Astyanax mexicanus: one gene and its partners. The protein of the gene in region 3 binds, or shares a complex with, the protein of the main gene of each other region. Links are inferred from orthologs where the notes say so. Each region holds a gene or a part of one and is shown on either strand. Other genes may lie near its edges. The genes, in order: cnot9, cnot10, cnot6l and cnot2.

Evidence for each region.
Region 1: cnot6l (region 3) and cnot9 share a complex: the UniProt entries of both Homo sapiens proteins name them as parts of the CCR4-NOT complex. The link is inferred for Astyanax mexicanus from reciprocal best matches to the Homo sapiens genes CNOT6L and CNOT9.
Region 2: cnot6l (region 3) and cnot10 share a complex: the UniProt entries of both Homo sapiens proteins name them as parts of the CCR4-NOT complex. The link is inferred for Astyanax mexicanus from reciprocal best matches to the Homo sapiens genes CNOT6L and CNOT10.
Region 4: cnot6l (region 3) and cnot2 share a complex: the UniProt entries of both Homo sapiens proteins name them as parts of the CCR4-NOT complex. The link is inferred for Astyanax mexicanus from reciprocal best matches to the Homo sapiens genes CNOT6L and CNOT2.

Annotation. Positions count from the first base shown.
Region 1 is NC_064430.1:21,132,361-21,140,721, reverse strand, and holds the start of cnot9 (CCR4-NOT transcription complex subunit 9), read right to left. Parts: upstream 3,219-8,361; 5' UTR 3,053-3,218; coding exon 3,035-3,052; intron 880-3,034; coding exon 700-879; intron 548-699; coding exon 432-547; intron 334-431; coding exon 224-333; intron 1-223. Other genes in the region: ftcd (formimidoyltransferase-cyclodeaminase), read left to right, coding at 5,412-5,465, 5,544-5,727, 6,661-6,789, 7,635-7,723, 8,266-8,361. UniProt on the Homo sapiens protein: Component of the CCR4-NOT complex which is one of the major cellular mRNA deadenylases and is linked to various cellular processes including bulk mRNA degradation, miRNA-mediated repression, translational repression during translational initiation and general transcription regulation.
Region 2 is NC_064413.1:37,975,311-37,983,402, reverse strand, and holds the start of cnot10 (CCR4-NOT transcription complex subunit 10), read left to right. Parts: upstream 1-5,061; 5' UTR 5,062-5,252; coding exon 5,253-5,271; intron 5,272-7,075; coding exon 7,076-7,170; intron 7,171-7,456; coding exon 7,457-7,618; intron 7,619-7,719; coding exon 7,720-7,870; intron 7,871-8,092. UniProt on the Homo sapiens protein: Component of the CCR4-NOT complex which is one of the major cellular mRNA deadenylases and is linked to various cellular processes including bulk mRNA degradation, miRNA-mediated repression, translational repression during translational initiation and general transcription regulation.
Region 3 is NC_064429.1:17,420,182-17,427,399, forward strand, and holds the start of cnot6l (CCR4-NOT transcription complex subunit 6-like), read left to right. Parts: upstream 1-3,947; 5' UTR 3,948-4,062; intron 4,063-6,516; exon of another isoform or gene 6,517-6,531; 5' UTR 6,532-6,541; coding exon 6,542-6,653; intron 6,654-7,218. Other genes in the region: mrpl1 (39S ribosomal protein L1, mitochondrial), read right to left, coding at 1-57, 507-633, 2,196-2,226. UniProt on the Homo sapiens protein: Has 3'-5' poly(A) exoribonuclease activity for synthetic poly(A) RNA substrate.
Region 4 is NC_064409.1:54,388,349-54,396,507, forward strand, and holds the start of cnot2 (CCR4-NOT transcription complex subunit 2), read right to left. Parts: upstream 3,307-8,159; 5' UTR 3,292-3,306; coding exon 3,274-3,291; intron 1,439-3,273; coding exon 1,319-1,438; intron 1,217-1,318; coding exon 1,144-1,216; intron 1,038-1,143; coding exon 890-1,037; intron 763-889; coding exon 577-762; intron 1-576. UniProt on the Homo sapiens protein: Component of the CCR4-NOT complex which is one of the major cellular mRNA deadenylases and is linked to various cellular processes including bulk mRNA degradation, miRNA-mediated repression, translational repression during translational initiation and general transcription regulation.

The DNA of each region.
Region 1 (8,361 bases), on a different chromosome or scaffold from region 3:
ATTTCTAAACAATGTCATAACTGGGACCATCTCATACTTGAATAGAGAAGATTTTCAAATGTACTGTACAAATATAAATGAGTGAATTATTAAAGTGAATATCAATGCAAAAGATACACACAAATCCACCTTTTTGATCCTGCCATCTCTACTATAAGATTCTGCTTAAATCACAACCCCAGTATCTGTGGATGTTCTCAGTTGTAAAGCAAAATTAACCTACCAATGACTCCAAGGCTGGTGAGGCGAAGGTATTCAAAGGGTCTCGTTTTACTAACGGTGTGTAGGAAAGGGTACAGAAACAGAGGGATGTGCGCTGCCAGGAACGCAGAGCTGGAGGGATAAAAGAAAAGTTTAAATTAAGGAACATGCAGACAATTTAGTCTCCAAACTGTATTAATTGTAAATCAGAGTGGGTTTGCAGCATTTACCGTGTCTCCACATGCGAGGCCACACATTGCAGAAGTGCTAAGGCATTGCACACTCTGTTGGACTGATGGGCTGTAAGCGTGGGAGGGTTAATGGAGGGGTAGATGTTCACTATCTCCTGTTAAAATAAAAACACATGAAAAAACATTCATCAGACACTGTGTTGGGAGACTCTGTTACAATACTGCTTTATATTATGTTATCAAAAAGATAATAGTAGGAATGTGTAATTTTTGGTTATGCTGTACTTATGAAGTTTCTAGTTTTTACCTGAAGGAGTGCAGCAATGGTCCCACAGGAGTGCCAGAGCATTGGAGCCAGATCAGTCACCGATTCCCGTTTCTTGCTGAGCTCAAGAAGTGCATTCTCCCGCGTCTCAGGGCTCGAGAGCTCATTGATCCACTGATAGATCTTCTCACGGTCCACCTGCGCCAGCGCCGTGCTTACAGCCTTGGATAAAAAACGCACAAATGTTAATCAGGCGTTTCCTTATGACCATCAATTCTTAAGATTTTTTTAAATTATTAGTACTGGAATTGCTCCATTATTTAGCATCATCATAATAGTATTACCCAAACCTAGTAGACAAAAATCCCATACAATTTTATACAGTGAGTAGAAATCCCTCACAATATCTCATAATATCCAGGTAGCAAGTGAAACTGAAACAGCACTGTTTACAACTAATGTTGCAACAAAGCAGCTTTACACACATCAGCAGCAGGACAAAATATCAAACACAAATATAAAACCTCCACAGGGGAAGCAGAAGGCAAAATTTACCAATTATAAAATTACACATATAAAGTCACTGTACCATCACATCTGCCTGTTGTTGTGCTCAGGTGTACTGATATAATCATCAGTGGTAAGAATGATGAGAATAAATTAATTAATAATTACCATGGTTAATGGTAATAATTAGAATAATAATAATAACAGCAATTATTCGCTAGACTAACAATTTGGAATTGCATATAATCACCTTCCATTGCTTAAATGATCACCTCAATGCTGCCTGACCACCTGTAGTAAAATCACCTACACCCTCAGTTGATCAACTCATTTGATTCTACCCCTTAGGGATAATGACATATGTCAAGAGTGTGACTTTATATGTAAGTTGTTAAGATAATTGGTTCTGGTTACTACAGTAACCCTACAGAAACATCTCAGACGGAATATTTGATAGAGCATATCTTGTGGTGTTCCTCAGGGTTGTACTCTAGGGCTAATGAAAGTGATATTATTATTAAAACTGTTGCTCTGAGAGTGTATGACTGAGATGTAGCTCACACACAGGTTCTAACTGGGAAAGCAATCAAAACTAACTAATGTAATGTTAGGAAAACTATATTGGAAACTTCATAGATTGTAGTGCTTTACAACCTTAGGATGGCCGTAATACAGTTTGAGAGACACTGTTTTACAGTAACCCTAGTTTCTAAAAGAAGCAAATATCGTTCTACTGAGATATCCTCTGGCACCTCCTACATGTAAACAGTTACATTTAAATTTACAGTCTCAATTACCCCATTTAAAAATTGCATTAAAACAGTATTTAGTTTAATCAAATTAATTTACTTAACCTCCCAGCTCTACTTACGCAGGTAACTGGCACAATTGAACAAGTAAAACCCTTTAGCATGTTTACTGTAATGGAGTAATACATTAGTACTCAGTTGTACTTCTTTGTGTAAGCTATTGCTAATGTTTTAATAAGACTACTTTATCAGATCTATTTACTGCTTATATACCGAATTATAAATCATAAGACTAATAATTAATAACTTTAAACTGTCAGCCTCAACTCTTCCCAAACTCACAGACACGACCGTTAGCCAAACTTCAGCTACTGCTATCAACCAAGGATTATTTTAGATAGCTAACTGTTATATAAGCACTTATTTCGTAGCTTAATTCCAGTTGAGTTTAACTTACTTCTTCATTTTAACTTTTTTTACTTTACCAGTTTTACTCAATTTGAGTTTATTAGCTAAACTAAGAACTGTAAATTTGCTAGCTAAACAACTTTCTAGTTAGCGTTAGCAGCTAACTTAACCAGCGTACTAGCTAAGATAGCTAAGCTAACATTAGATAGCAACCGTGCCATTCAAACTTTAAGGAAGCTAATGCCAGCTACAGGACGAAATATTACGATATAAACATCGGAGATTTGTGAATATCTGTAATAAAAACATTAGCTAATATTCGCTATAATTTGCATCTAACTAGATAGCTAGCATAGCTTAGCTAACTAGTGTTAATACGTCCAACACCCGTTCTAGCTAGCGAGCTAGCTCAGGCTAACAGGCAACGCTACTTCGTTAGCATTAGCATTCGACCGTAATGACCAATTTAAAAGGCGTCCAGTTTTTATTATTTCAATTAATTAATTTAAATCTCACAAAGGCTCAAGGCTGCAGATAAATTAGATACGGGGCTGAATCTCTGTAATATATAGCTACATAAGAGTGAAGTTGTGAAGCTCTTTAGCGCAATTAGCCGCTCCGGCTAGCAGGCCGCGCAGTGAGTTTTAGGTTAGCTGATGAATGGAGGTTAATATTAAAGTTAAAATCAGAGCAGAACCGCGCATTTAACTTACCGCTCCTGTGGCCAGCATATTCGGAAGGGCTGTGTTCAGTCTTTCGGCAGCCGTGGAGATCCTTCTTCAGCCCAAAATACACAGAAATCCCTCAGAATTCACATCAGACATTCACAGTCTGCTCCACCGTCCACACTCACGCCTGCAGACTCAGACATCCAGTCTGAGGAAGCTCCAGATCCAGCAGAGGGAGCCCTGTGGAGATACCGAGATACCGATCCAGATACTATAGGATATCAGTGGATACTTACATTTCTACTGATATGTAAAGGCAAACTGAGATTAATGTATGATGATTTATGATGAGTGGAAACCAATTCATATTCTAGATTGTATATTTGCTATTTATAGGAATATGTTTCAGTAAAATTAACATTGTTGTTTTATTCTATAAACTACGGACAATATTTCTCCAAAATTCCAAATAAAAATTTTGTCATTTAGATGCAGAAAATGAGAAACGGATAAAATAACAAAAATGTTGCAAAATTTTCAGACCACAAATAATGCAAAGAAAACAAGTTTATATTCATAAAGTTTTACGAGTTCAGAAATCAATATTTGGTGGAATAACCCTGGTTTTTAATTACAGTTTTCATGCATCTTAGCATGTTCTCCTCCACCAGTCTTACACACTGCTTTTGGATAATCATTTTTCCTCATAATTTTCCTCTTATTTTTTTTCTGCTTAAAGGAGAATCCTGTGTAATCCTGTGGAGAATGGACTTGGGTTGTAACCCAAGTGAAACATGATAAGTACAAATTATGTCAACAGGCTTACAATGCTAGTGATAGGGGCATAGAGTTGTCCGTGTAAAGAAATCTCAATTTTAACACTGTCAGGGCTCATAGAATTCTACCAATCTGCTTTGAGCTTGTTAATGGTGTAAAAATAGAGATTTATTTGCATGAATACTGCTATTGCTTCCATCGTACGCCTGTTGCTGCATTTCGGACGTGGACTATTTGACCAAAGTTTTGTACTCACAAACAATGTTTCACAACACCCCAACACCCCATTTCACATCAGAGTTCTCCTTTAAAATACCAGCTCGACACCAGCTTTTGCTGGTAGCTGGTATCGGATGGTCTAAGTTTGAATATTACACAACGTTGTGTAAAAAATACAGAATGCAAAAAATGTGCAAATCTAACAGAACCACATTTAATTCACAGTAAAACAAAGCACACATTTCAGATGTTGAAAGTAAGACAATTTACCATTTCAAGAAAAATACTAACTTATTTAGTGTGTGATGGCAGCAAAGAAACTTCAAAAAGTTGGGACAGGGCATCAAAAGCCAGAAAAAGTTAGAGGTACTAATAAAAACAGCTAAAATAGGAGCAATTTGCAACTAACTCACAGAGCTGGGTATAAAAAGTGAATTTTAGATAGGCAGTAAAAGAAGTAAAGATAGACAGCGGTTCACCAATCTGTGAAAAACTAGGAAAATGTAGACTTTTGATATCTGACCATCTATTATTACTATAATATTACAAGTGCATTGTTGATGAAATTGGTATGGAGATGCTAGCTTTCATTTTCAATATTATTGCCTTAATCAGACATGTATCCAAAAATGGACCCATTTGATCAGATGTTTTGTAGCTGTTTTCTGTTTGCTACACCCCCTACCAGGTTTTGGTTCTCTGATGAATCAATTATTTACTGCAACCTAGCCACCTTCTGTTTGCTTTTGGGATGTTATGAAACTCTTGGGCCAAATATTAAACTTGGCTTCATCTCTTGATGTGTTTGACCAGTAGGTCCAGAAGGTCCGTTAACAGTTTTGTACACAGTGAGTGGTTCATGTGTACAACTGGCATGTAACATTGTTTACCCCATTGTAGCCAAGCAGACAAGACATGTTTGGTGTCTAAAATTAGAATTTTTTTACATTTTGCACATAAGCTACAAGGCTAGCTAATGCTAAGTGCTGAAAGGTCATAGGAGACAATTTACTGGAAAATACAATGAGGCAAAGATAGCTAAGAAATAGATTCTGAAAGCGTATTATTAGTAAAATGAAACAGAAGGAGGATGTTTTTAATAAAGAGGCCAATATGTGAAAGCCCAATGTTGGTGTTTATTTTATGGTGGCAATTGAGTTTTGGTGATGCAAGGCTTGACCTGAGATTAATGATTTGGATTAGGATGGCGAATACTTTTGGCAATATAGTGAATGTCTGTGACTGAGTGAATATGACAGACTTGTGTGTTATCTGAAGTGACAGGCCAATCATTGGCTGCTGACCCAGATAAGGCCCAGTGGGGCGGGTTAATCATTCTAGAGGAGCACTAACTTAACTCTCTATAGATCCGTCGAGGACCCAGTGGTGGAGCCGCTTCAGTCTGTGTGTCTTACCTCTCACAGCCATGGCTAAGCTAATCGAGTGTGTGCCGAACTTCTCAGAGGGACGAAATAAGGAGGTAAAAGCAGATTCTGACCATTATTGACTGTCACAGACCAGGAGAACCCATACTAACTTTATTAATTCTCTTTACCAGGTAATCAATGCCATAGCTGATGCCATCTCGGCCACTGAGGGCTGCAGTCTGCTGGACGTGGACCCCGGCTCGTCCACCAACAGGACGGTCTACACATTCGTGGGCCCCCCACAGGCTGTGGTGGAGGGAGCCCTGAACGCTGCTCGAACCGCCTTCACCATCATTGACATGAGCAAACACACAGGTACAGTTAACACTCACATCTTTATTAGAAATCACCATGCAAATAATAGTGCTTTCACTAAAGCTGGGACATTGTGTAAAATATAAAAACAATTGTAAATAAAAACAGAATGTAATTATTTTCAAATCTATTTTAACCATATTTTATTCACAATAGAACACAGAACACATTTTAAGACACTGAAAGTATGACACTTACGATTTAATGAAATACATGAACTCATTTAGAGTTTGATTTCAGAAACACATCTCAAAAAAGTTTGGGCAGCACATCAAAAAGCAGAAAGTGGTGCTAATGGTACTAATAAAAAACATCTGCATTAGGAGCAATTTGCAACTACTGTAACTTACAGGGCTGGGTATAAAAAAGGCATTTTATATAGTCTCTTTTGGTTAAGTAAAGATGGACAGATATCAGATCATCTTCACCATAATATCAAAATATAACCAAAAGTTTCAGAGTATTTGGATAAATCCCTGTACCCAAGGGACAAGGCAGACAGTCTAAAAATGCATGTTAAAGCTGTATCATGCAATGAATGCCAGTACTGCTGCCATCTTATGACCAAAGCTAATTCAAAATAGACTGAGGCAAAATAAAAACCATTCTGTGATTAAATGCATCAAATTTTTTATTTTAAGTGAGCTTTGGCCCTTTTGGAGTGGTTTCAAAACAAGGCACAATGCAGTGCATAGTAACCAATCAGAGCAGAGCCAAATTGGGACACCCAATAAAACCTATGTCTTTAAAAACATTTAATAATCTGAACATTTGATCTTCATTAAGATATGGAGTTATTATAACAATAATAAAACAAGTAAGCCTGTGCAATGGCAAGGGTTAAAGTGAGATAAAAAACATATTGTGTAAAAATGAATCATGTCTGTTATGATATGTAACCTTTTAGAAATCTGTCCATGTTTGAATGTGCAGGTGAGCATCCTCGGACAGGGGCCATGGACGTGTGTCCTTTTATCCCGGTACAGAACGCCAGCATGGAGGAGTGTGTGGAGTGTGCTAATGAGTTTGGCCGGAGGCTGGGGGACTTGCTTCATGTGCCAGGTGAGATAAACCTTTTAAAGGGACCTTATCAAAACAGTATTTATTTTTTTTAACTCATTTATTTTCTGATGTCTCAAAAATCGGAACATTTGATAGAGCAGTCCACACCCTCCCATTTATTTTGAAACGTTTAAGATTTTAATCTAGCACTGCTTTTTAAATCAAGAACAAAATACAGAACCAATCAGACGAAAGCTCATTTATATACAGCTCTGTAAAAAAGACCACTTCATTTCATGAATCAGTTTATCTAATTTTGCTATTTATAGGTAAATATTTGAGTAAAATTAACATTTGTTTTATTCTATAAACCTTGAACAAGAAAATGCAGAAAATTACAAATAGCTGAAATAATAAAAAAGATGCAGAGCTTTCAGACCTCAAATAATGCAATAAACAAGAGTTCAGAAATCAATATTTGCTGGAATAACCCTGGTTTTTAATCACAGTTTTCATGCATCTTGGCATGTTCTCCTCCACCAGTGTTTCACACTGCTTTTGGATAACTTTATGCCACTCCTGGTGCAAAAATTCAAGCAGTTCAGTTTGGTTTGATGGCTTGTGATCATCCATCTTCCTCTTGATTATATTCCAGAGGTTTTTAATTTGGTAAAATCAAAGAAACTCATCATTTTTAAGCGGTGTTATGTTTTTCCAGAGCTGTACATACAGTGTTAAAACACAGTGGGTTTAATTTTAAAGAATAAAGTATGGTTGGAAAAAGGGTTGTTTAGGTGTTGGGTTACCACCAATTTTTTAAGTGGGTTTCAGGAGCACATGTTAGTTTTTGTCAAAAGTTTTTGACAACATGTAACAAATTTATGCTCTCTCTGTCTCATTTTTAGTGTACCTCTATGGAGAAGCTGCGAGGACTGAAAGTAGAAGGTCTCTGCCATCTGTACGAGCTGGAGAGTATGAGGCTTTATCAGAAAAGGTCAGACTCTGGTCACTTTATTAGAAACACCCTATTGTACAGTTACAGACTGTATCTCACCTCAGAAACCAATCTATGAATAATAGAGTTTCCGGTTTGGTCTAAACCAAAATTGGAGCTGCCGTGAACCGCAGACAGGATCAAAGAACCAAATTTTGGTCTGACCAAAAGAGGTGGTGTCAGTCCAGATCAACTGAACCATGATTTGGTTTGTTTGCAGTGTGAAAGCACTTTTCTAAATGGTACTGACTTCTGAATAAATTACCAGGAAGTAGACGCAGGCTATGATCATGCATTCAACAACAAAAAAAGAAAATGTTTTAGTGCCGGAATCAAATTCCATTTTACGCATATCATGCAGCAGTACAGGCACAAATGCGTATGCTCTTTATTTCTATATCTACTGTAACTGTAGATTAACCCTTATTTATAAACTGACGATAATCTACAAACAATGTAACAAACAATGTACCTTTGGTGCAGATTTTGTTTCTAATAAAGTGGCCCGTGAATAAAAACTCTCTTGGATCTCTCCATTACAGTTAAAGAAGAGTGAGTGGGTTCCAGACTATGGTCCTGCCACCTTTGTCCCATCATGGGGCGCCACAGTGACTGGCGCCCGGAAGTTCCTCATTGCA
Region 2 (8,092 bases), on a different chromosome or scaffold from region 3:
ATTCTAAAATGATAATCTTTACAATGTTCATATAATAAACTTTCATCTAATTAATTTATGTATTGAACACTGGCCTATTTTAATCATATAGTATTCATACATACTGTATGAAGCGTGCAGCCGGGACTTTACCATGGAGAAGTTAAAATAATGTGATAAGCAGAAAAAGTCCTGATGTAGTCTAGTGTGTTTTACTACATAATGAAACTTCTAAAATATGATTTATTATTTATATACTGCATTTGCTGTTATATACTGCACGCTAGACTTAAATACAATTATTTGTGTTTGAGCAAGGTTTGATACTCGATCCACAGTGTCATCCACAGCCATTACCACCCAAGGTGGACAGCACAGTTGATGGTAATGCTCATTATGGGCGGTCTCTAGCTAGAAATGTCCATGTAAACAGACAGACTACTCTGGCAGAAATCACATCCATATTTAATGCAAAGTCCATACAAAAGTCATGGAACACAATACTAGTTAAATTTCCAATGTGGCATGGGACATGTGACAAATGATTTGGGAAAGGATATACAGCTCTAGGCTACAAATGGAAATGCACTACCTAAATGCATTTAACTGTAGGCTGTAATGCATGATTTCATGACATTTCCCACCACGCAGCAGCAGTTCCACAAGAAATGGACTTTAGACTGGAGGATGAACAATATACTTTTACACATAAAGTATTTAGATATAACATCAAGCTTTACGAAAATTCACTTATTAAAACTGCCTCAACTATTTTATTAGATCAGGTTGCTCTTACTGATTATGTCTAATGAAAAGACACAAATCTATGAGATGCAGATTCCGCACATCTTAAATGCCACAATTCTTATTGTCTAACCAGAGTATAACGAAGATAAAGGAGCCTGTATCACCAAATTACTCTGTAACGCTGATCCACATTCTCCTCCTCCTGGTTTATCAAATCACTCAACTGCTCCTACACTTTAGGCAATCAGTGATTTACACAGACAGAAGCTGTGGCAGTTGAGTGATGGTGTTCGTCTCCAAGCAGCTGTGTATTTAACAGAACACTCTCTGCTAAAGGCCAGGGATCAGCTCTATAACTTAATTTGTTTCTGCTCTTTCTCAGTGCCCTCTGAGCCCAATAAAAGCCTTTCAATGACTCCATAACGACTTCCTCGTCTACACAAGTAACAAAGCCTAATTGTCTTGATTGTATATTACAAACAGTAAAGACACAGCCCCCCACCACAACCCTCATGCCTACATTTAAACAGTTAAGAGCTAGTCTGGCATTACACAACACAGTGCTATTGAATTTATATGTGTTTAGATCAAACATAAAACTTAAAATGTCAGGTCTATTAAAATGTAATCTTCCTTGGCCTAAAAGGTATATAAGGATCATTGAGGACAAGAACAGCGCACTGTTCCAACATATGCAAGTGTTTAAACATAAATTAATTGACACTAGCTGAACTTTTCAGGTGTGAGCCACGTTCAACTTGAGCAGCCTTGTGACTCCATGAAAGAGGAAATCAGAAAAAACACTGGACTTAAGAATACAAAAAAAATAATAATAATAAATAAAAACTTAAATCATAAGACCAAAACAGTGTTAGAAAATAAGAACATTACAAATGATGTTTATTCTCTATTATATCACCCTTGTAGCATGGAACAGGTACTGTCTGAGAATGTATTGGCATTGTATTAATTCTAATGTGTATCATGTTAACAATTCATGCTTCCTAAGTATGGACACTGAGTAAAAGAAATAATGTAGTAAGCCCTATTTTTTCACTACAGAGACAATCATTAAAACATGTAGTTTAAATATTTTAATGATTGACCTGAATATTCAGGTTATTTGTACTATAGAATTCAAACAGATTGCATAAATGGACTTGCCATGTCTGAGGAGGATATAGAACTACTTTTTAAATGTATAATAAAGAACCATCTTCAAAAGGTTTTATTAGTGTTTATTAGTGTTCTGCTTAAATCCCCACCTCACATGTTGCTACCTTATAAAATCCTGAAAGAAATAAATGTGCTTGCTGCTCTTAATCACACTGGAAATGTTTATTGCACCAGCAGAGGCCTTTCATGCATCATATTATCAAAGCGAATAAACAAGCCAAGTAATCATCTGTTTGGTCTTTTGGTAGTTTAGAACCTTTTGGTCTGTCTGAATTCTGCCACGGCCAGGCTAACTTTTCTAAAAATGACGGAGGATAATGAGTCATATTGTCGGAATGCTCCAATTTTCTGCAGGCCTGGAGAGATGGATCTGTCATAGTTACGAAGCCTCAGAATAACCAGACACGCTCCCAGGCAATCAATCATCCCTCTTCCTCTCAAACTTCTCTCTCTCTTTTTCGCTCCCTCCTGGTGTCAATTAGTGAGACATTTTCAAGCTCTCTAGGTACTAGGCTCAATTAGACTAATTGAAGTCAAAGAGGAAAATAAACACTGCGGTAGAGAGTGTCTCTCGCAGGAGGACGTGGCAGCAGTGTTTTTTTACACTGAGAGACACACACTTTTCTTTTAACACAGGGCTCCTGTGGAGTGACACATACCTGATGCTTGTAGATGGCTGCCCTTTGTGCCATCAGTACCTGTGTTAAAGGTGGTGTTCATTGTATTTTATGTTTACATACTTACTGGCTGATTTGTAGGCACCTAAACTTTACATTACTATCAATTAATATCCATTGCTGTTAAAACTTTACAATGGTTTAAATTATTAAATATTACTAAATCTAAATTCATTCATTGGAAAATATATATTATTCAGACTGTATAGACATGTCTTCAATTACACTGACAAAATTATCCTTGTAATGCTTTTGTAGAGTAACCTATGTTGTTCTATGTTTGTGACAGAAATATGAAACTTGAAATAGTATCCTGACATAGTACTTGACCTAATTTTGACATAGTATCCTAAATCAAATTTGTTTTATCCCTGTTTTGATATATACGAGCATAAATCCAGATTTAACAAAATACGACCGCCAGCTAATTAAGAAGTATGAAACACAAAAACAACATTGTTTTTTTCCCCTTTAGATGGTCTAAACATGCTGCACACAAACTCTCTAAACTCTTCTCAGTACAGCGCTGGCATCTGGCCAGAGTGGGTATTAAACTCCCAAATCTAAAGGTGGGCATTATTTTACGAAGATATGTGGTCTTGCCAGAGGTGGAAAAAGTACTGAAAAATTGTAATTAAGTAAAAGTACTGTTACTTTGCTAAAATTCTACTCAAGTAAAAGTAAAAGTACCCATCTAAAAATCTACTTGAGTAAAAGTAAACAGTACTCAATTTAAAATGTACTTTGAGTAAAAGTTACATAGTTACCTATTTTAAAAACTACTTTAAAATTACAAACAGCTCAGGGCTTGAATTAAACCACTCTGTTGGGTCATCTGCCTATCTTGGTGGAGACAGAACCAAGATATGAGCCAGATGTTAAAAAAATCCAGAGTTTAACCTAAATGTATAGGACCATGCTCGCCTCAATAGATGTATTTTCCTATATACAGGATATGAACTATTTCTTAAGCCATTTGAGAAAACAGAATGCCTACACAAATCAGTACACTTATGCTTGGTTTATGTAATATTTTTGTATCTAACTGTTCTTCACCTGTCTAGAAACAGGTTTACTACAGTCTGTAATTATAGAATTATATAAATGCTCCTATTTGATAAGAATAGCTGACAAAATGGAAAATAAGGTGTATTTAAAGTTTTCTTTAAAAAAAACTGCCTAATGGTTAACTAAGTACATTTATTGCAGGCTCCACATCTCTTCTTTAAATTACATAACTATATAATAAAATATTCACATTCAGACAAAAACTATAAGCTAGTTAGCTAGTTATATCCAGTGTACTAGGTTAGCATTGTTTTGCAGAGTGACAGTGCTAGACTTGTTAGCTATAATGTTTATTAGGGTTTATGAATGTATAAATTGAATTATGATTTACATTTAGGGTAAAATTGTGGCCATTTAAGTTAAATGTTCTAGCTAAGGCTCTGACTTGCTAGCTTAACAGGTAACATTTAACCTAAGGTTAGCTAACTACTATCTACCAATCGTGGAACTTAGTTTAGTGAATGAAAGCTATTACAGTTACGTTTTATTTTGACTTGGGTATAATAAATTAGCTTAGCTTAAAAGTCACACTCTTGATATAGGCCATTATCCTAAAGTCGTAAAGTCAAATGATTTGAACAAATGAGCGTGCAGGCAATTTTTAAAACAGGTGGTCAAAGAGCATCATGAGGAGATGATGTAGGCAAAAAAATCAAGTTTGCCAAAAATAGAGAATTAAGTCTGGGCAGAGATAGTGAGGAAACATTTACAAAGCATATTTTTCTACATTTTGTATTCTATTAAAAAATATCAAGAACTATCAGTGTGGTAGAAAAATAAACTGTTGATGGGGACAAAAGTTGTGAGTCTGATAAATCACAGTAATGATATACACATTATTTTTAATGTAATATGTAATATGTATTGTATGTAAATTCCACTAGAAGTATGATAGGAAATAAACTTAAAGATAATCTAGATGCAGTCTTGCAAATAATGATATCCAGTCTTTGCAAAATCTTATCCTGTGACTAAAAGGTCTGACTAGTCTTTAGATGTGAGAGGGTGTCAGAATTTAGTCTGTTAAAAGTCTTTTGACTAACTACTTGACTAACTACTTCTAACCTCATTTCCTTCTTCTCCTCCTCTACTCCTATATCCCATTATTTCCCTTTAATCTCCTTTAGGCCCTGTCTAAAGTTGTTTTTACCTTTAACTTCTATTACTTTTGTACTTCACTATTGTCTGCCAAATGTAATGTAATGCTTTGAGAGTCTTTTCAAAGTCGTGTAGTGTATGGACAGCAAAACTCCTACCAGGAAGAGAAGGACCGTCAGGCTGTTTGTGTTTGGGGGTAAACTCGGATCTGTCGACATCTAGAGTTCACTCTTAGAGTCTTCTTCCATCCTATCATTCTCTCCAAATGATCACTCAGTGTTTCTCCTCCTCCACACCGGCGGATGGCGGACTGCAGCAGCTTGTGCTCTAATTCTCATTACAAAAATCCTGGATGAAGCGAAAGCAGAGCAGTAGCAGCGGCTACGCACTGATGAACCCTGTGCTGGATCTATATATAAGTTAGATAAACGGAGAGGATCTGTGTGTGAGAGTCTGATCACTGGAATTAACACGCGTTAATTCATACCAGAGAATCACTGGCAGGACATGGCTGAGAGCGGCTCAGGTAAGCTGGGTTTATTTATCAGCACCCAGGGAAAGGGTAACTTATCTGTCTACCGCAGTTAGCTAACTTAGCTAGACTGCTCGCTGAATATTTACCTGTCCCTGTCAGACTAGTAGATCAGCGCTGTTGTGAAATTTAACCACCAGTTTCTCTTCTGTATTCAGTTAAAGTCAGCAGCAGCACAATCAGCTGTGAACAGTATAAACACTGCAGCACACAGAGAGGGCAGCTAGCAAGGCTAGGCTAAGCTAAGCCAACATGCTAACTAGCTAGCTAACCTAAATAGCTAGGTACCATAGCAACCTTGCACAGTAGCTAAATTAACAGTTTCAGTCCTTTAGCAGTGGACGAGAAGTAGAATGTAAAGTTTCATATGTTTATTCCGCTATAATATAACGATTTGTGACCGAACTAGTTAGCTTAGCTAAGTATTTGAGAGTATCGTCAGTATCGCTAGTTAGCTAACCCCCTAACCTGACTCTCACTCATTTTGCCCTTCACAAAATCGTTAAAAGCGCTTTATTTTAAGTATCTGCATTAAAATGAACTAAATTATTAAATCATTTACTTGTGAAATGAATATAAGCTAAATATGTAAATGTGTAGAGATTTAATCGAATTTAATCGAGGCTAAGTCTTGCATTCCTATGCGGGTTTTCCCGTCCACCTTAAATTCTCCTGCAGAGCAGAGGTTTCGCCTGTAGGTGGCGCTGATTTCACCATTAATTAAAGTGAAATCAGTCTAAAACTGATTTATTAATTTATTAAAAAATATATTATTATCGTTTTAATCAGCTATCTAAATACTAAATATGTAGTATTATATGAACATATAATTTTTGTTTTACACTTTTTAGTCTTAGTTTAGGTTATTACGGTTTTGCAAAATGTATAATCACATAAGAAAAAAAAAAGATAAAAAAGAAAGAAAAATAGAATAAACACAAGTCCTGCATTTAAAGAAATCACATATAGACTGAAAAGGTATAGGTTGAAGCTTTAGCTTAATTTGCCTACCCTATTTAATTAACAAATACACATATTTTTTTACAGTGTAGAGACCACGCTTTACACCACTGACAAACATTTATTTCATAAAATCTTCTTTTTTTTTATATCTGTCCTTCAATTCAATTCAGTTCAATTTTATTTATATAGCGCTTTTTACAACAAAGGTTGTCACAAAGCCGCTTTACAGGAAAAACAGGTCCACGCCTCTTATGAGCAGCACCACAGAGATGCCAATTTTATGGTGACACAGTGGCAAGGAAAAACTCCTGTCCTTGCTCTCCATCCTTTAAACATAAGTATTCCACCAAGTTCAAACTTTTTATAGATATAATGGTCAGTTTTTAAGGTACAGAAATTGTGCAAAATGTTAGTGCTGTATGTCTGAGCAATAAGCAAATGATTTATAATTTATTAAAATAATATTTTTGTATTTAAATAATACTTTGGGTAAGGTGATGAAGCTACTACTACAACTACTTCTAGTGCTACTACTGCTAATAATAACATTATTATTAGTATTAGTGGTGGTACTTGTCTTGAGATACTGCATACAAGGTATATGGTATTTTCTCTATGCAGCAGTAAATCTTAAATTTAAACATGTATTGATGTATCAAAAAGCCTATGGTGAACTCGACAGTGCAGAGCTAGAAGCAGCAAACGACACAACAAACCTGTACAAGGAGAACATGTTTAATCATTAGCTCTTAAGCATTTAGAGGTTTTAGTTCTGCTGTGTCTGTTTAAGTCAAACATTCCAATTAACTGCTTTTAAATTTTATTCTTTTTCAAGACCAAGTTGGTGACATGAAACATGACAACGCTTCTTCCCCTGGAATTTCAGACCAAGAGAAGGAGATGGCCACGAATGCTTTTGAAGCATTTACGGTATTGAACTTTTACATTTATATTTAACACTCATTCCTGCTTAAAAATACAGCTCAAAAACACCTGGTAATCCAGAAAAAAACATACTGCATGCCACTTAAGAGCTAGTAAACAAGCTAGCCTACCAGCATAGGATATGCTGTTTTTTTTTTCTTTCTTTCCCCTCAGCTGGTCTTGAGGTGGATTTTTATGTTTGATATTTTTAGCAGGGATTCCTTACATATGTTGTGAAGTATTACCTGTACTTTGTTCATTACTCTTTACTGTATTGCTCTTGTCCCCTTAGGCCGGCAACTACGATGATTCCTTAAAACAACTCGAAAGTCTTCAGGAACTGAACAAGGAGGACTATAAGATAGCCCTGAACAAAGCTGTTGCTGAGTTCTACAAAAGTGGGCAAGCAACCACTGGCACGTTGAAGCAGACGTTAATGACAATAAAAAATCAGGTGAGGAAATACTTTTACATTTTCAATTAAAAATGTTCAAAAACAGGGCCTTGTTTTTCTTAAGCCTGTTTTCTGATGGTTTTCTATCTTTTTATTTGTAGGTTCATACTGCGGTGGAAGACATTGATGGTTTAGATGATGTAGAAAACAGCATCCTCTACTACAATCAAGCCATCATTCACTACCACATGCGGCAGTACTCTGAAGCCATATCTATTGGGGAAAAGCTCTACCAGTTCCTGGAACCGTTTGGTATGTTTCTGAATTTTGATTTAATTTCTCAAACAAAAAACTAACATTATTTGTTCTAGGAAACTTTGTTCCTGTTTGTGTGTATTAGTGTCCAGTAATTCATATTAAGAGTATAAGAATACAGTTGAAAAAGAAAGAAGTCAAAAGAAAACTAAGTATACAGAATAAAACACTTGTACATTCCTGATAGCAATGTTTCACAGTCACTGTATTCTTAAAAAC
Region 3 (7,218 bases):
TCCTCCTCTTCCTCCTTCTTTATGTCTTTTTCAAACTTTTTAGGTTTTTTAGCTGCCCTGCAGGATGTACATAAATGTTACACTCATTTAATATTGACAATATTTTATCATGTCTTGATCATTTTCTTATTGTATCGACAATACATCTTTTTATTAGGCATACCAAGGATATAATCAGTCCTCAAAGAACACAGACATAACTGTACATTTCATTACAGGGAGTGTAAAAAATCCTGTTTATTAAATGATGTGCAGCATTTCCTTTAATTTCTCACTGGAGTTCTCCTTTAAAGTTTTGATTTTATACCTGAATTTAATAAATCAATGATTAAGGGTTGTGTCCCAAAACTTTTACCATATAATGTACCGGTATGCCAACATTCTTATCGTCACCAACAATACAAAAAATAAGCTTCTGCACAAGAGTTTTAAATGTTATTGTGTGTTAAAGATCTGTTCCCATCCAAAAAATACAAATAAAATACAAATAGTAATATGAAGCTTACTTGGCTGCTGCGGCATAGTTCCTGACGAGGACGGGATGAGGCCTAGCTGCATTCTGGGAGACATTTGAAGCAGATGAAGCACATGAAGCGCTGGAGAGAAGAAGCTGTCTCTGGCACCCAGCTACTACTGTGGGACAGACCATAAGAAACAACACAGTGATTTATTGTTTTATGTAACCTATTATATGTAATGTCTGTACATATTCCTATACACACCATCCACTTCATTAGAAACACACTGTAGCCAATTTTTGTTCTTAACCCAGGTCAGTTTTACTGGTCAACCTTGCAAATCCAACAACAGTCCTGTAGTCAGAAACTGTCTACTGATGATGTGGTAGGTGATGATTAATACACCATGAACACCAACAATTAAGCTACAATCTTTAGCTGTACAAACCTTTAGCTGGTAAAGAAAACCATAGCTCACATTTGGGATGCTTAGAATTGTATGAAATAGGAAAAGAGAAAAAAAACTGTATGCCATGATGAAAAAAAATAGTTTTTGTTTGTTTTTTGTTACTGTACAACCACAAACAAAAAGCTTTTATTACTACAAGTAACTAAAACTAGAAAAACCTAAAGTTAGCAGAGTGTTAATAACACACTTACATAACTGTAGTAGGGGTGGGTGATATGGCTCTTAAATAATATCTAATATGCGATAACGATATACTTGGCGATATAGGAAAACAGAAAAACAATTGAATAATTTCAGGAATACAGTATAATAGTATAACAGTATAATCATAATAATAATAAAATAATATAGCATAAAATAATATAATGCAGCAAAAAGTATTGCAGAAAAATAAATAGAACATGAACAAACCCCCAGGTGGGTGATGATGAAGAATTGGTGCCAAATTAAAAAGCAGTTACTGCAAATGGAAGTAAAACCACTTTTACATCCCTCTATCCAACTGTTTTTTGAAATTGTATGGTGATAAATAGCAAAATGCTATGATGATTCAATTATACATTTTGATAAACATTTGCACAACCATTTAACATTAAATGTTGAAACAACGTTGTTTCAACATTGAATCAACAACAACAGACATTACTTTAACCATATATCAACCACATTTGGTCAGTTGTATGTGAGCTGGGCAGATCTTTTTAATTTACAAATTGCTTTACAGTGGGAAATATTAATAATTAAATGGATAAATCCACTAAATGCTAATTCTTCTGAAATCCTGAGTTCTAAAAAAAAACAATGAAACCAAAATCAGGTTTTCTAGAAACTTTCTAGAAACCCAATGACGCTTTACAACTTACACATTTTACACACTGTACACACAATCATTCATACTCAGAACTTATCTAACACAACAGTTTCCACACCGACTGGTGCTGACTGATCCGTTCTACTATAACCAGTTTCATAGCCGATTAGTTTTAGATCTGGTTTTCTTCTAGTCTGCTTATTTTACTTCTTTTTCAGCCACAGTGTTTATAAAGCTCTGAAAACTCTCTATACCTCTATTAAATAAAGCAGCTCTGCTAACCTAGGTTAACTAACAGCGCCGTGGCTACTAATGTGATTAAACCGCTAGACAGAAGCTTCTAATAAAACCAGGCTCCTATAACCAGCACAGACTGGCACTGTGTGTTTAAATGTCATTCAAACTCTGTTAGAAACTCTTTAATAATAAATAAATAAATAAAATCCCCAAAACTGACCTCTCAAAATGCTCCTGCAGGACGCTGCCATGTTCACAACCGCACCTCATGTTCCTCCGTGTAGAAACACACACTCCTACAAAGTTCCGCCACCCACTATTTTTAATAAAAAAAATACATAAATTTTTTATTATGAAGACCATATTAAAGCTATACAGAAACACACGCTGAATTATTCTGTACATAAACAAATATTAAACAAAGCAGAATCTGTTAGAATTATACTTTAGATTCTTCCAAATAGCACATTTATCTTTGAGGACAGATCTGCACACTGTTGGTATTTTTTTATCTCAGTGTCTTCATGAGGGAGATTCACCTGGAATAGTTTTCTCAGTGTATTGAAGGAGTTTCTAGAGGTGCTGAACACTAGTTGCTGCTTTTCCTTCACACTGTGAAGCTCCAGCTCATGCCAAATCACCATCTCAGTTCATCAGTTTTAAATCAGGAAAAAACCTTTCTTTAATATCAATCAACGATGTTGAAAATACATTAAATAAAGAAATAAAACAAACATTAAATAAGATCAAATGAGGTCAAACTTTTGAATGGTACTGTATCACCAGATAATTCATTTTAATTGCTGGTGGTTGTATACAAATACAAATGTGAACATATATTGTATATTTATGTATTATCTCTTCATCCTTGGGTTGTTTTAAATAAATGCAACAAATGACATACTAATAAATGTTTGGTTATTTAATTTCCATACACATTAAGCTGTGCCTATTCTTATGTATCTTAGTTTCGCATATATAAAGCAAATCTGCAGATTTTTCTATTATGATTTAAGTGACAGGTGCCTGAATTATACATTTTTTTGATAGCTTTTGTAAAACAATGTGACTTCATGTAGCTTAGTTGCTTTGTAAGTATCCAAATTTCTATTCACTACTATCTTAAAAAAAACAGACCTAAAATGCTGACAATTTAAAATATTTTCCAAAGTTCTTTAGTTTTCTGTTTTTTTTTTGTGATGTAAAATATAGTAACAAAATTTTACACAATTCTTTATAATAACAATTTCTCTGTACACTATATTTTTTCACAAACTTTAAAAATGCATCAGTGAAATTTCTGTTCGTCTTTAAATAAACAGTTTTTCCATGTAAACTATTGTAATTTTACAAAATATATCTTATATTTTTATCTTATATTAAGTCTATGCATTTTTTTTATTAGTTATGTCATTAAAGGCAAATTAATAAAAAAACAATGTTCTTTGTTACAGGAGAAGCCGGTATGGGTAATCCACCTGTTTTTTCCATGGTTTCCATGTTTGCATTATATATTTACAGTATGTCAGTGATATGCCTAATCATGGTCAGTGATAGGAATGGGAGGGGTAAATCTATCTAAAGTTTATCTGTGTTTTTTTTATATATCGTGATATAGTTTATTTTAGTTTTCCTGCTGCTAGGCTTCGCTGATATATTGATACCGTGTTTAATCGCTCCACCCTTATCTTAGCTAGTCTATCTATCTATCTATCTATCTATCTATCTATGTATCTATCTATCTATCTATCTATCTATCTATCTATCTATCTATCTATCTATCTATCTATCTATCTATCTATCTATCAGCAAATGGATAGATGGAAAAAACTATTTAAAACATCTATCGTTGATACAGTTTATTTTAGGTCTGATATTTACTATATTATACTATTTATCGATACAGCGGTGAATCGCTCCACCCTTATTTTAGCATGAGAACTTGAGTGGAAGAGCGGAAGCCATGCCCGCCGTCCTTCCTTCCCCCTGTCGCTCAGATCACCCGGGGACGGAGCGGCACGGACTTTCTGCCCGCATGTCTCCAACAACACCGCCCAGACAACTCCTTTACCCGCTTCCGAATGCAGGTAAACCGGCTGTGGGGGTCTTTAAACACCCGTTCTCCTGTATTCGCTGTGTGTTTTTGTGCTCAGTCACTGTACTGTGCTGTTTTCCCTGTCAGTGAAGGAGAAGCTGCTAGTTAACCGAGCTAAGCTAACGCCAACTGTCTTCTTAATCAGCCGAGGCGGCCCGATCTACAGCTCATACGGATCAGTTACAGTCTGGTGTTCTGTTTTAGCTAAGCTAAGCTAAGCTAGCGGTTTACTCTGATAACGAGTGCAGTTTCTGAGCTGGGCTTGAGTTACATGTTACTGAGATATGCTTTGGTGACAGCTGGACAGACAGTTAGCCACTGTATTTATTTATTTTACCAGAACAAAATAAATAAATTAGACGCTGGATAAACTCAGGTAGCTATTAGCTAACTTTGTAGCTACTTTATAAGTGAACTTTGGATGGATTGTAGATCAGCAGTAATGAAGAGCAGGGCTGTTTGTTTTGGACACGTTTATAAGCTAAACAGCCGCCCAGTTTGTGTATAATACTAGTAGTTGACGCTAGGTTAGCTAGTTAACTAGCTCCTGTCGGTGTGTTTCAGAAGTTTAGCTTTGTCTCTGTAGTGTAGGTTAATGTTGTAAAGTGAGGCTCCGTGTGGTTGACCTGTTGTTGCTCTGGAAGTTCTCAGAAGAGCTTATTATTTTACGTAACGAAGAGTTAGAGAGTTAGCCAGCTAACTTACAGTAGCTAAACGCACACAGACACCCTGATCTGATTAAGTGTAGAAAAAGCCCATATTCCTCCTCTCAGATCAGAGACGGTTGTATTCTTGTAGTGCTTGTATTGTAGGTGGTTGTAGTAAACACTGCTGGTCAAAGTGCGGCTCTGATCCACTCCTCTGGAATTTGGCAGTCTTTTGCTGTTGTTAATGCAACAGCTGCGACCTGACTCCTCTACTGCTGATATATTTATATACAGGGCAACTGAGGTCACTCTGTGTAGCAAGCATGCTCTTAGCTGTTAGTTTATATGAAGTATAGTTAGTGTGTATATATACACTAATGCATCTTAAAAAAATAGAATATCATTGAAAAAGTTACTTTCTTTCAGTAATTCAGTTCAAAATGTGAAACTCATATATTATTATATAGATGTATTACACACAGTGTGATCTATTTTGATAAGCATTTATTTCTTTTGTTGATTATTATGGCTTTCAGCCAATGAAAACCTAAAAGTCAGTGTCTCAGAAAAGTAAAATATTATATTAATATTATCAGACAAATTGGTACTTTTGGCAGTGTGGGCAGTGTGCCAAGTCGTGCTGGAAAAGGAAATCTACATCTCCATAAAAGCTGTCAGCAGAGGGATGCATGAACTGCTGTAAAATTTTCCGGCAAACACTGCAGTGACTTTGCACTTGATATAACACAGTGGACCAACACCAGCAGATTTACCAGACATGGATCTTCGAACCATCACTGACCATCAATACATTTTGCATTTAATTTGAAGATCAAGTGACCAGAGTCTGGAGGAAGAGTCTAAGCTGATCATCTGCTGGTGTTGGGCCACTGTGTTATGTCAAGTCCACAAACTTTTTATGGAGATGCAGATTTCATTTTCCAGCTTAATAGTTTTTCGATTTTAGTTAATCGATTTTTAGTGTCTGGATTTTGCCCACGTCTGATTATTGGCAGGGTTTCCTTAAAATTTATGTTGTCTATTTTATTATTATTCCATGTTGCACCATGGTTCCAGAGGAACGTAATTTCATTACACTGTGAACATGTGCTCAGATGTAATGACAATAAAAGCCACTTGACTTGACTTGACTTCGTCTCTGCATTGAGGAAATCATAGACCCCTATTTAAACCATGCTGTGGGTTATTCTGACTAGACTAGGGGTGGGCGATATGGCTCTAAAATAATATCACGATATTTCAGGGTATTTTTGCGATAACAATATACTTGGTGATATAGGAAAACAGAAAATTAATTAATTAATTTCAGCAATATAGTATAAGAGTATAACAGCATAATCATAATGTGGCTAAATAAGTAATATAGCATAAAATAATATAATGCAGCAAAAAATATTGCAGAATATTCAGTGCATGCATATAAACTGCAAACTCAAACCATTATACAATAAATACACTTAAAGCTTCTCAGTAAATAATAGACTACTTTTAAGACAGAACATCTCTATTATCACAATATAGATTTTTAATATCACGATATTTCTGTGTCACGATATATTGTATATGATATAATATTGCCCACCCCTAGTATAGACAATATTGTCTTTATAGAGACTTTGCGTAACGCAGTAGTAGCCTGCATTTTGCCTGGGCCTTTACAGTATGTCTTTCAATTCCTTACAACTAGCAAAATTAGACTTGCTCCAGTGTAGAACTACAGAAAACTTATATTGTAATTGTATTGAATTTGTATGTCAGAATTAGCTTCTAATTCTTAGCTTTACATCCTGCAGATTAACAGGCATGCCAAAGGAAAAATATGATCCTCCGGATCCGCGCAGACTCTACACCATCATGTCAGCGGAGGAGGCGGCCAATGGGAAGAAGTCACACTGGGCCGAGTTAGAGATAACTGGTAAGTGTCTTCATTTACGATTCTTAATACTGAACGGATGTTGTGTGTCTTCGTTATCAAGAATCCAACATTCTCTGATTAGGCACTCTTTTTTTAAGTAAAAAAAAGTGTTAAGACTAAACTAATAGGCCTTGTTTCCACTGCTGGGCTAAAATGCTTTCCAAGGCCACACCGTTCCATGCTCTGCCAGTACAGACCTGTTAGGTGGGTTATGGTTTCATAACCCATGGTTTCCATTTGCTGTGTTTCATGCTTTCATGTCCTAATTTTAGAGTTAGCACTAAAAAATAAGCTTGTATAGTTTATCTTAATATTTGTTTTAATTTGACCATTTAAATCTATATTACTAAGGCCAGTAAACATGGATTTGTTTTTTGCACAAACATTGCATCAAAATCTGGTAAATGTTTCTCTCTGTGACCAGTAGGAGCTGTGTTTTAATTTGACCATTTAAATCTATATATCTACGTAACAGTTACTAAGGCCAGTAAACATGGATTTGTTTTTTGCACAAACATTGCATCAAAATCTGGTAAATGTTTCTCTCTGTGACCAGTAGGAGCTG
Region 4 (8,159 bases), on a different chromosome or scaffold from region 3:
CATACATTACTAAAGATTTCAGTTTTACAATAAAAAATGGAACTGGGCCTTTTAGAGCAGTTTGTTGACCAACCATTGCAGAAACTGGACTTAAGCTGTGTGTGGAAATAAATCATGTATTTTTTCCTGCACACTCAACTCATTATAAAATGTTATTCGAATTGTCTCTCAGATACCACAGCGAAGTGCAATACTTGAACACGTACTGTTTCCATGCTTGATCCCATTTATACCGTTGGCCACGGCCACAGCCACCACCACCACACACTACTGTGGCTACTTAGGTTGTGGTGGCTTAGCAGTTAGAGAGCTAACGATAACAAGGTTGTGGTTTCAGCAAGCTAACACTGTTGGGCCTTTGAGAAAGGCCCTTAGTCCTCACTGCTCTCCAGTTGCCACAGGAATGGCAGCCCACTGGTCCAGGCACATATGCTCACTGAGTGTGTCAAGTTTTTTTTAATACACAGCAATACTTAAATCATTAACAGCCTCCTTAATAAATGCATTAAGTTATCATAGGTGCCAATACATGCCAGCCTGGACTTTGAGTTATGCCGTTAGGAACAGACATTGTACCTGTTGATGGTGAAAGGTTGCTGTCGTGCTGGTTGCTGCTTTGGCATGCAGATGATGCTGGGAGAGCTGCGGTTGGGGCTGCCAAGGCCCGAACTGCCCATACTGTTGGTCCTGCCACTCATGCTCATGCCCTGACCCACCTGCGAGTGATTCATAATGTTCCTGGTATTCATGGGAAGAATTCCCCTGCAAATCAAAAGAGAATGTAAATCAGGTATATGGGGCATCCCCACACTGTTCACAGAGAACAAACAAGAAACATAACAGGAAACGTTGGATAAAACTTTGAAAGCAGGCAAAGTCATAGGCCTACCTGTTCGGCGAAGGTGGGGTATGGAGGGACATCGTTGGGACGCCCGTTGTTGGGGTGTTATGGCTCGGTAACTGAGTACCTTGTGTTAAACTCCGGTTTAACTGAGGGTTGTTGTTGTTCATGCCCCTTATTGAGAAGCCTAGTGCACCTACAAGAATCACACCAGAAAAATCATATATAAAACATTTTTATATTTAATGAGTGGTCTTAAAAACTGCAACACAATACAAGCAAATTTAGAGAAATGTACTCACTTTGTGGACCATACAAACTTGCACCAAGCTGCGACAATTGACCTGACGACGATGGTGAGGGAGATGCCAGCATCTGCAAGATTTACAAACTCTTTCATTTTCCTACATTTGTGCTGCACAAATTGTATTTTTTTTTGTAACTTGTCAACTGAAGGCATGTAACTTTTGCTCTTACATCTTTCTCTGTTCGATGAGGAAACATCGAAGGCTGACCATAGTACATGCTCTCATCTGGGTAGTCGCTTTCGACCCCCTCAAACTTCTTTCTTGTAGCACTGAACATTCCGTTCGTCACCTGAGAAAAAACAATAGTTTTAGAAGGTTAAAAGGAAAGCCAGAATAACTGGATTTGATCAGAGATGTTCTAGAGACCACTTTAAGTAGAAAACAAGAAACTTGCTTTTTACATTTACTAAACCTTTACTGGACTAAGTTGTAAAACTCATACTAACATAAGATGTATTTTATGATTTAACTCAGTTATTTAAAAAAATACAGGATCTTTAAACAAAAATATATTTTTTTTGTTTAAAGATTAGTCTGGGAGTAAACTTGTAAAGCTCTGTGAAACCCAGAGCTTCTTAATACTTCCTGCTCAGGACCAAGTTTAACTCAGATCAGTAAAACAGGCCCCAAAGCTACACAATATTGTCAATAAAAGCATTCAGAGCTTTTCTGCCAGTGTTAAGATTATTATGGCTGTTGTGAAAGAGATCTGAGCGCATGAGTTCCATGTGACCACACAAGAAAAAAGTAAAAAGGTCCAAATAAATCACACAAAACAAGCTTCAGAGCGAACAGGCACTAAAGAATAAACAAAGTCAAAAGCAATGAGAATAATTACACTGCTCATCACTTCCATTGTTTACATTAACACTTGCTACTCTTGTTAATAGCTACCTTGACAGTTTGGCACTGACAGATAACTTATGTATAGCTAGCTAATATTAAGCTGCAAACGTGTGTGATACATTATAAAGTGGTTAACTAGCTAGACGATCCGCGTGTTAACGATATAACCTAAAAAGGATCAAGCTAAAAGCACAGAGACCTGCTGCTTTAAACACAGTAACGAGCTAACCGCTAGCTAAGCTACCCAGTATACATCCAGAACACATCTAACTCTGGACTACGGCTTATAATCGTGTTAGCCAGCTAAGCTAGCTAACGCTAACTAGCTGGGCAAACTCTTTCGGTACAGACAGAAGCTCGTATTTTTTTCTTTTACGGTGTTGTATCGTTAGATATTGCTTTCAAGTTTGCAAAAATGAATTAGCTAACTACATTAGTTTGTTAAAAAACAAAAAACAAATCCACAATATTTTACTCCGGATTCTTAAATAACGCTAGCTAAGTTAGTTATCTAGCCGGGCTAACGAATTAACGTTAGTTATATAGGGTTAGCTAACCTTGCTAGTTAAAATAGCGGTATGAACAGACTGCTCGTTAGCTTAGTTGGCTTAGCTAACTAACGTCAGAAAATTAAATGGGAAGCTATTGATGGATATGAATCCAACCAACACGATAGCTTCTTAAGCTAGCTAGTTAGCTAACTAGCTAACCTGCCTAGTTGGTTAAAATAGCGTTACGAACAAGCTAACTAGCGTCAGAGAATTACATTGGGAGCTATTGATGGTTATGGATTCAACCAACCCGATAGCTTATTAGCTAGTTAGCTAACTAGCTAAACCTAGCTAGCTTACAAATCCAACAGCAGGTAGATAGCTAAGCTAGTTAGCTACCGAGCTAAAGTTGCTCAGTCTACATAATAAAAAAAAAACATCTGAACAGCGGCTGACGATACTGACAAAACACGGCTTCGTCCACAACACAGCAGGCTAAACCAGACTCCAGATTAGACCGTGGATCGCGTTTCAAGTCGCGGCACAACAGTTTCTTTTAATTATTTACCGGATGGAGCACTAGCCTTTAGCTCGTAACACAGCTACAGATAAAGCTAGAGCTAGCTTAACAAAGTCTATCCGGCTGTGTTCGGTGGAGGCGGTGTAGTTTAGCTAGGCCACTGCGCCTCCTGCTCCGCTCCAACCCGCATCTCTATCTAAGCCCTTTAGCTTCAGGTATCAGGCTGGTGCTAACGCAGCTAGCTCGGACAAAAACACAGAGACGTACGAGTCCGTGTAAAGCCATCTCTCCGCGAGTTCGAGCTCAACCTACATGCGAGGTTGAAAACCCTCCGACGCTACAGCTCTGTTTTCGTGTTGTGTTCGAGGCGGGCCGCGCGGAGTGGTGTTTTTTGTTAATAAATGAAGAAATCCACTAACCGCATTAATTTCCCCTCTCCTCGTAGACCCAAGATGGCTGTGTATCCTGCAGCCGAGAATCCTGGGTGAACAGCCTTTACCCCCTGACCCTGCTCTGGCCTCTACAGCAGCCCTCACTGCTTTACATTAATATTATTATTATTATTATTATTATTATGGGCCTTAAATTATCACTTATTTTACTATATTCAGGTTCTTCAGTAATTATAATCACGACATTACTGTTCACATTTTAGCTTCTGTATAAACGTTATAATGCACTAAATGAGCTATTCCATATCTCTAGTTAACCTGACTTCCTGGGCCAGCATCAGTATTCCCCCCACAAGATACCCTGTTTGACTGATTTATACTAGTCTTTCATAGCAAGAATATTGGACATAGTGGCCTAAACTAACAAAACATAAGTTACAGTTGTTACTATATAACATTTTCAGTATTAGTTCCTCTAACTAAATTATTTTTAGCTGAGGCCTGTTCATGTTGTTTCTTTGTTTTAAATCATTTTACACATAGATATATATTGTATTTATGTTTTATTTATTTTTGTCCATACTTATTTAATAAAAATTAAATGAAAGTAGCCAAAGACAATTATATGTAAATGTATGTAAACTTGTTATAGCTTTTAGGCCATTTATCTCTGCGATAAGAGTTTGCTTGTAAAAGGTACAATTAAACATAAATAGAAGTTATAAAAGAAGAGTTATTTATGTTTATTTGTACCTTTTACAAATAAAATAGTAACAAATCATTTGTCCTTTTGAAGGAAATAAAGTAAATAGAAGCCATATCTTGTCATTTTTAAGAAAGTGCAAAAAAACAAAAGAAATGTTTAATAAGCACATTTATGATATTATGTTATGTTATGTAATTATGTTATGTTATTTATGTATTTATTTATGTTTATTTATATTTGTATATTATATTTATATATATTTATATTTATATATTTATATGTGTATTTATATGTGTATTTACTGAACAAATAAAACCTTTTTAAGATTCATCTGTACATGTGCCTTAAATGTTATGTATGTAAACTGATTGACAAAAATGAACACCCTGGATTGCTGGAAAACTTGGCATTTAATTATGTCTCAGACAGATTTGTAAATCATGTTTATGCCTAGAACTGGGAAGCTGGAATTTCCTAGTTTTCCTAGTTTCCGGAAATCTTAACTTGAACGCTCCTACAGGTCAGATTTCCTACTCAAAAAAGTTGGGGGAGCCTCGCCAACCTTGAGTTTAGAATCCAACGTTCACAATAGCCGAATATCCCGGGTAAATGGAACTCAGTGTTAGTCTTGCCACAAGAGGGTATAACTGTGACAGTCAGTCACACCTAGTAGTAAGACAATGCTCACTCACACACAGCAAGTTTTTCCCAGAAATGTCTTCGCCAGTTGCAACACTTGGCCTGTTTGATCAACAGATTTTCAACAATTATGTGTTTCTTGCACTTACTTCATCAGTGGATGAGTGGGCAGAATCTACAGGCCCAGATGCAACATCTGTGATCAAATATGCATAAGCATGCCCTCTGCTCCAATTTAATATAAATATCACATCAAACCGACCATAAGTGATTATAGTAGTCATACCACACTTCAGCTTAAGGGTATTTGCATACATTTACACAGTCACCATCATTTAAGATAACCATATCATGTTTGGCGCATAGCCATAACAAGTATGATACAGTCATTTTAAGTATAATGTTTTATATCCACTGCATGCAATCACTATCTGTAGTCTGTAATTCACAGACTATTATACTTATGCTTATACTTATATTACAGACTATAACTTATGCGGAGAATCTTCTCTGTTAAGTCTCTAAGACAGTGGTTTTGCAAACTTTAAATTGGCCACCTTTGTAATTTTGTTCATGAAACCTTCTACAAATAGTATCTGACAAATACACAACCAACTCCTCAAGGTTGTTTTTGACCTGTCAGATAGACAATTAAAGATTTTTCTGAAGATTAGTAAAGATTTTATCAGTGGAGTTCTTCCTTGGCCTACTAGTCCCTTTAAGAATAAAAACTGAGCAGTGCACTGTTTCTTCTTAATGATAGTCCATACATTTGATTTTATAATCCCAAAAATATGTCCCAAACAATATAGACGTCACTGTATGTGGAAAAAAAGTTTATTATATTTATTTCAATATTTATATTAACATTTATTATGTGACATTGATAATGGTAGAATTTGGCAGTTGACTTTCATCGATAATGTATGAGTTTTTTTTTTTTCTTCTCCAAACTCTAGACTTTTTTAATTCAGGTTTCCATTATGTAAGTTCTGTAAATATGAACTCAGTCATAGCCATTTATCAACAACAATGGTGTAAAGACTAGTACACACTTTCTTCATTGTACAATTCTGCTGGCAGAGCATCAACATCATAAGCTCTTGACAGAAGCTCTCCGCTCTGCCAAATAACCACACAGACGCCCAACTGGCTGGCAGCTACAGAGTGATGACAGCAAGTTGAATACTGATGTCTTTCTTTCAGTAGAGTGACATCTCTGGTTTTACTGCAGGTGACATCAGACCATCTCTGTATTGTCTATAGTATACTATATACTCAGGGTTTTAATTTCACTGAATAGGCTGTATGTACAATGTATTACAGTTTCGACTGTTAATAGTGCAGTGTGTAATATTTGTATGTATGACAGTGAGTACATTAATGCATATCACTGTATGTTTTGTGCCTCTTCTGCTGCAATGATGTGTGGGTTCACACACTCAAGACTTTCATTTTCATTTTCAATTTTATGTGATAATCTTAAGTAAACACTGACATGTTTAAATTCTGCCTAGTTCCTACATGTGTGTCTAATCCACTGACAATACAAGTCTACTATTACAGAGCCAGGAAAGGGTATTTCCTGATTCCTTGTTTTGTTTTGCGTGTTATGCATGCTTAATTATTGGAAACTTTAAACTAAATTCAATTTAAGACTAAGGCATAAAATATTTTTAAATGGGAACAGCTAAAAATGTTTACAGGTTAATCAATCAGACAATTCATGCATTTAAGCCACCTCTGTTGAATTTAAACATAATTTACAGTAATAAATATAAATCACAGTAATTTGAATTACGTATATGGAGATAAAATGTCTCAACAAACAACACATGATACAGGGATCAACAGAAATACTGGAAGTTTTTTTATTATTATTATATTGTTCGAAAAGGTTTTACTAAGAAAACTTGAAAAACAGTTGTGAATCATCTCAAAAGTGGCTGAACACACACAAGATCACCAAGAGCATATAAGGAACTGTATCTCTAATTATGCAAAACATTGGGGTGGTAGTTTGATCTGTATCCTTGGTGAATTGCCATAATTAACAGAACAAAACAATTCTGTTAGTCTACCAGAAAATCCTGCAATAGTGGCCTAGTTAAAGTCTTGATTTAAACCATATTGCTGTGACAGGAAATACATGCATGTACTCAAAGTACTTCAACATGGCTGTATTATTGTAGAAGAGTAATAGTGACCTTTTTGTCTCGAACAACTGAAATTATTATTTAAAATCTGCTTTTTCTCATGTTCTTTTTGGCCTACTGAGTTTATTAGCAATATCTGGATGGATATCTGCCGCCGTTCTCCTTCAGTTGTCACCGACGTGTGTTTCAGAACTTTCGAATCGGACAGTTCTTCGCGCCTGACACTCTGGCAGAAACTCCACCCTCTTTGACTAGGTCTGCCTACACACTAAGAAAAGTAAGTACAGATTTGTACCTAAAAGAGTACAAAGCTTGTCGCTGGGGCTGTACCTTATATTGAGGTACAAAAAAGTACTTTTCAGTGAAAGTCCTTTTTTGTACCCCATATTTTTGTGCCAGTAAAGATAATACAGATTATAAACGTTATCATCAACTGAATATGTGTCAAAAACTTGATGATCCAAAATTGTCTGGCTTTCACATGAAAAATGTGCAATTAAAATATATATTGTTTATTAGTACAGTGATAAAGAATACAGAATGTACCATTTGGCTGGTTAAATGGTACAAATCTGTCCTTATTGCTGTTAGGAAAGACTTTGTACTTCAAAGGGAACCAATCTGACCCTGTAAAGACCAATATTGTACCATTGAGGGTACAATTATAAAGAATGTACCTTTGAGTACAAAAAAGTACTCATATCGTACATCTGTTTTTTAGAGTGTAACAACAGAGCGATCTATATTCTGATTGGCTCAACGAGAGTACATTATAATATACAGCCGATGGATTGGCAAGCGTGAGAAATACCATGTATACATGGTATTTCTCACGCTTGCCAATCCATCCATGTATACATGGTATTTCTCACGCTTGCCAATCCATCGGCTGTGCAACAGTATGGCTGTGCAACAGTATGAAGTTGAAATTGGCACATTTTTAATCTCCAAATTCCCTATTGAAGACAGACCAGGACTGCAGGCACAGCCATGCCTTCATAATGTGTGCAGCATGTGGTTTTGCATTGTCTTTTTGAAAAATGAATGGATGTTGGCATCTTGAAAGCAAGTACATTATCTCAGTATAAGATCTCAGTGTACCTTTCTGTATTAATGCTGCCATCATCTAAAAGTGTATTGACATAACCCCACGCCATGACAGACCCTGGCTTTTGGGCTTTAAAAATAACTGACTGGAAATACCTTTAGCACATGCCATTAATTTCTTTCAAACATCCCCATTCATTTCTTCCAAACCAA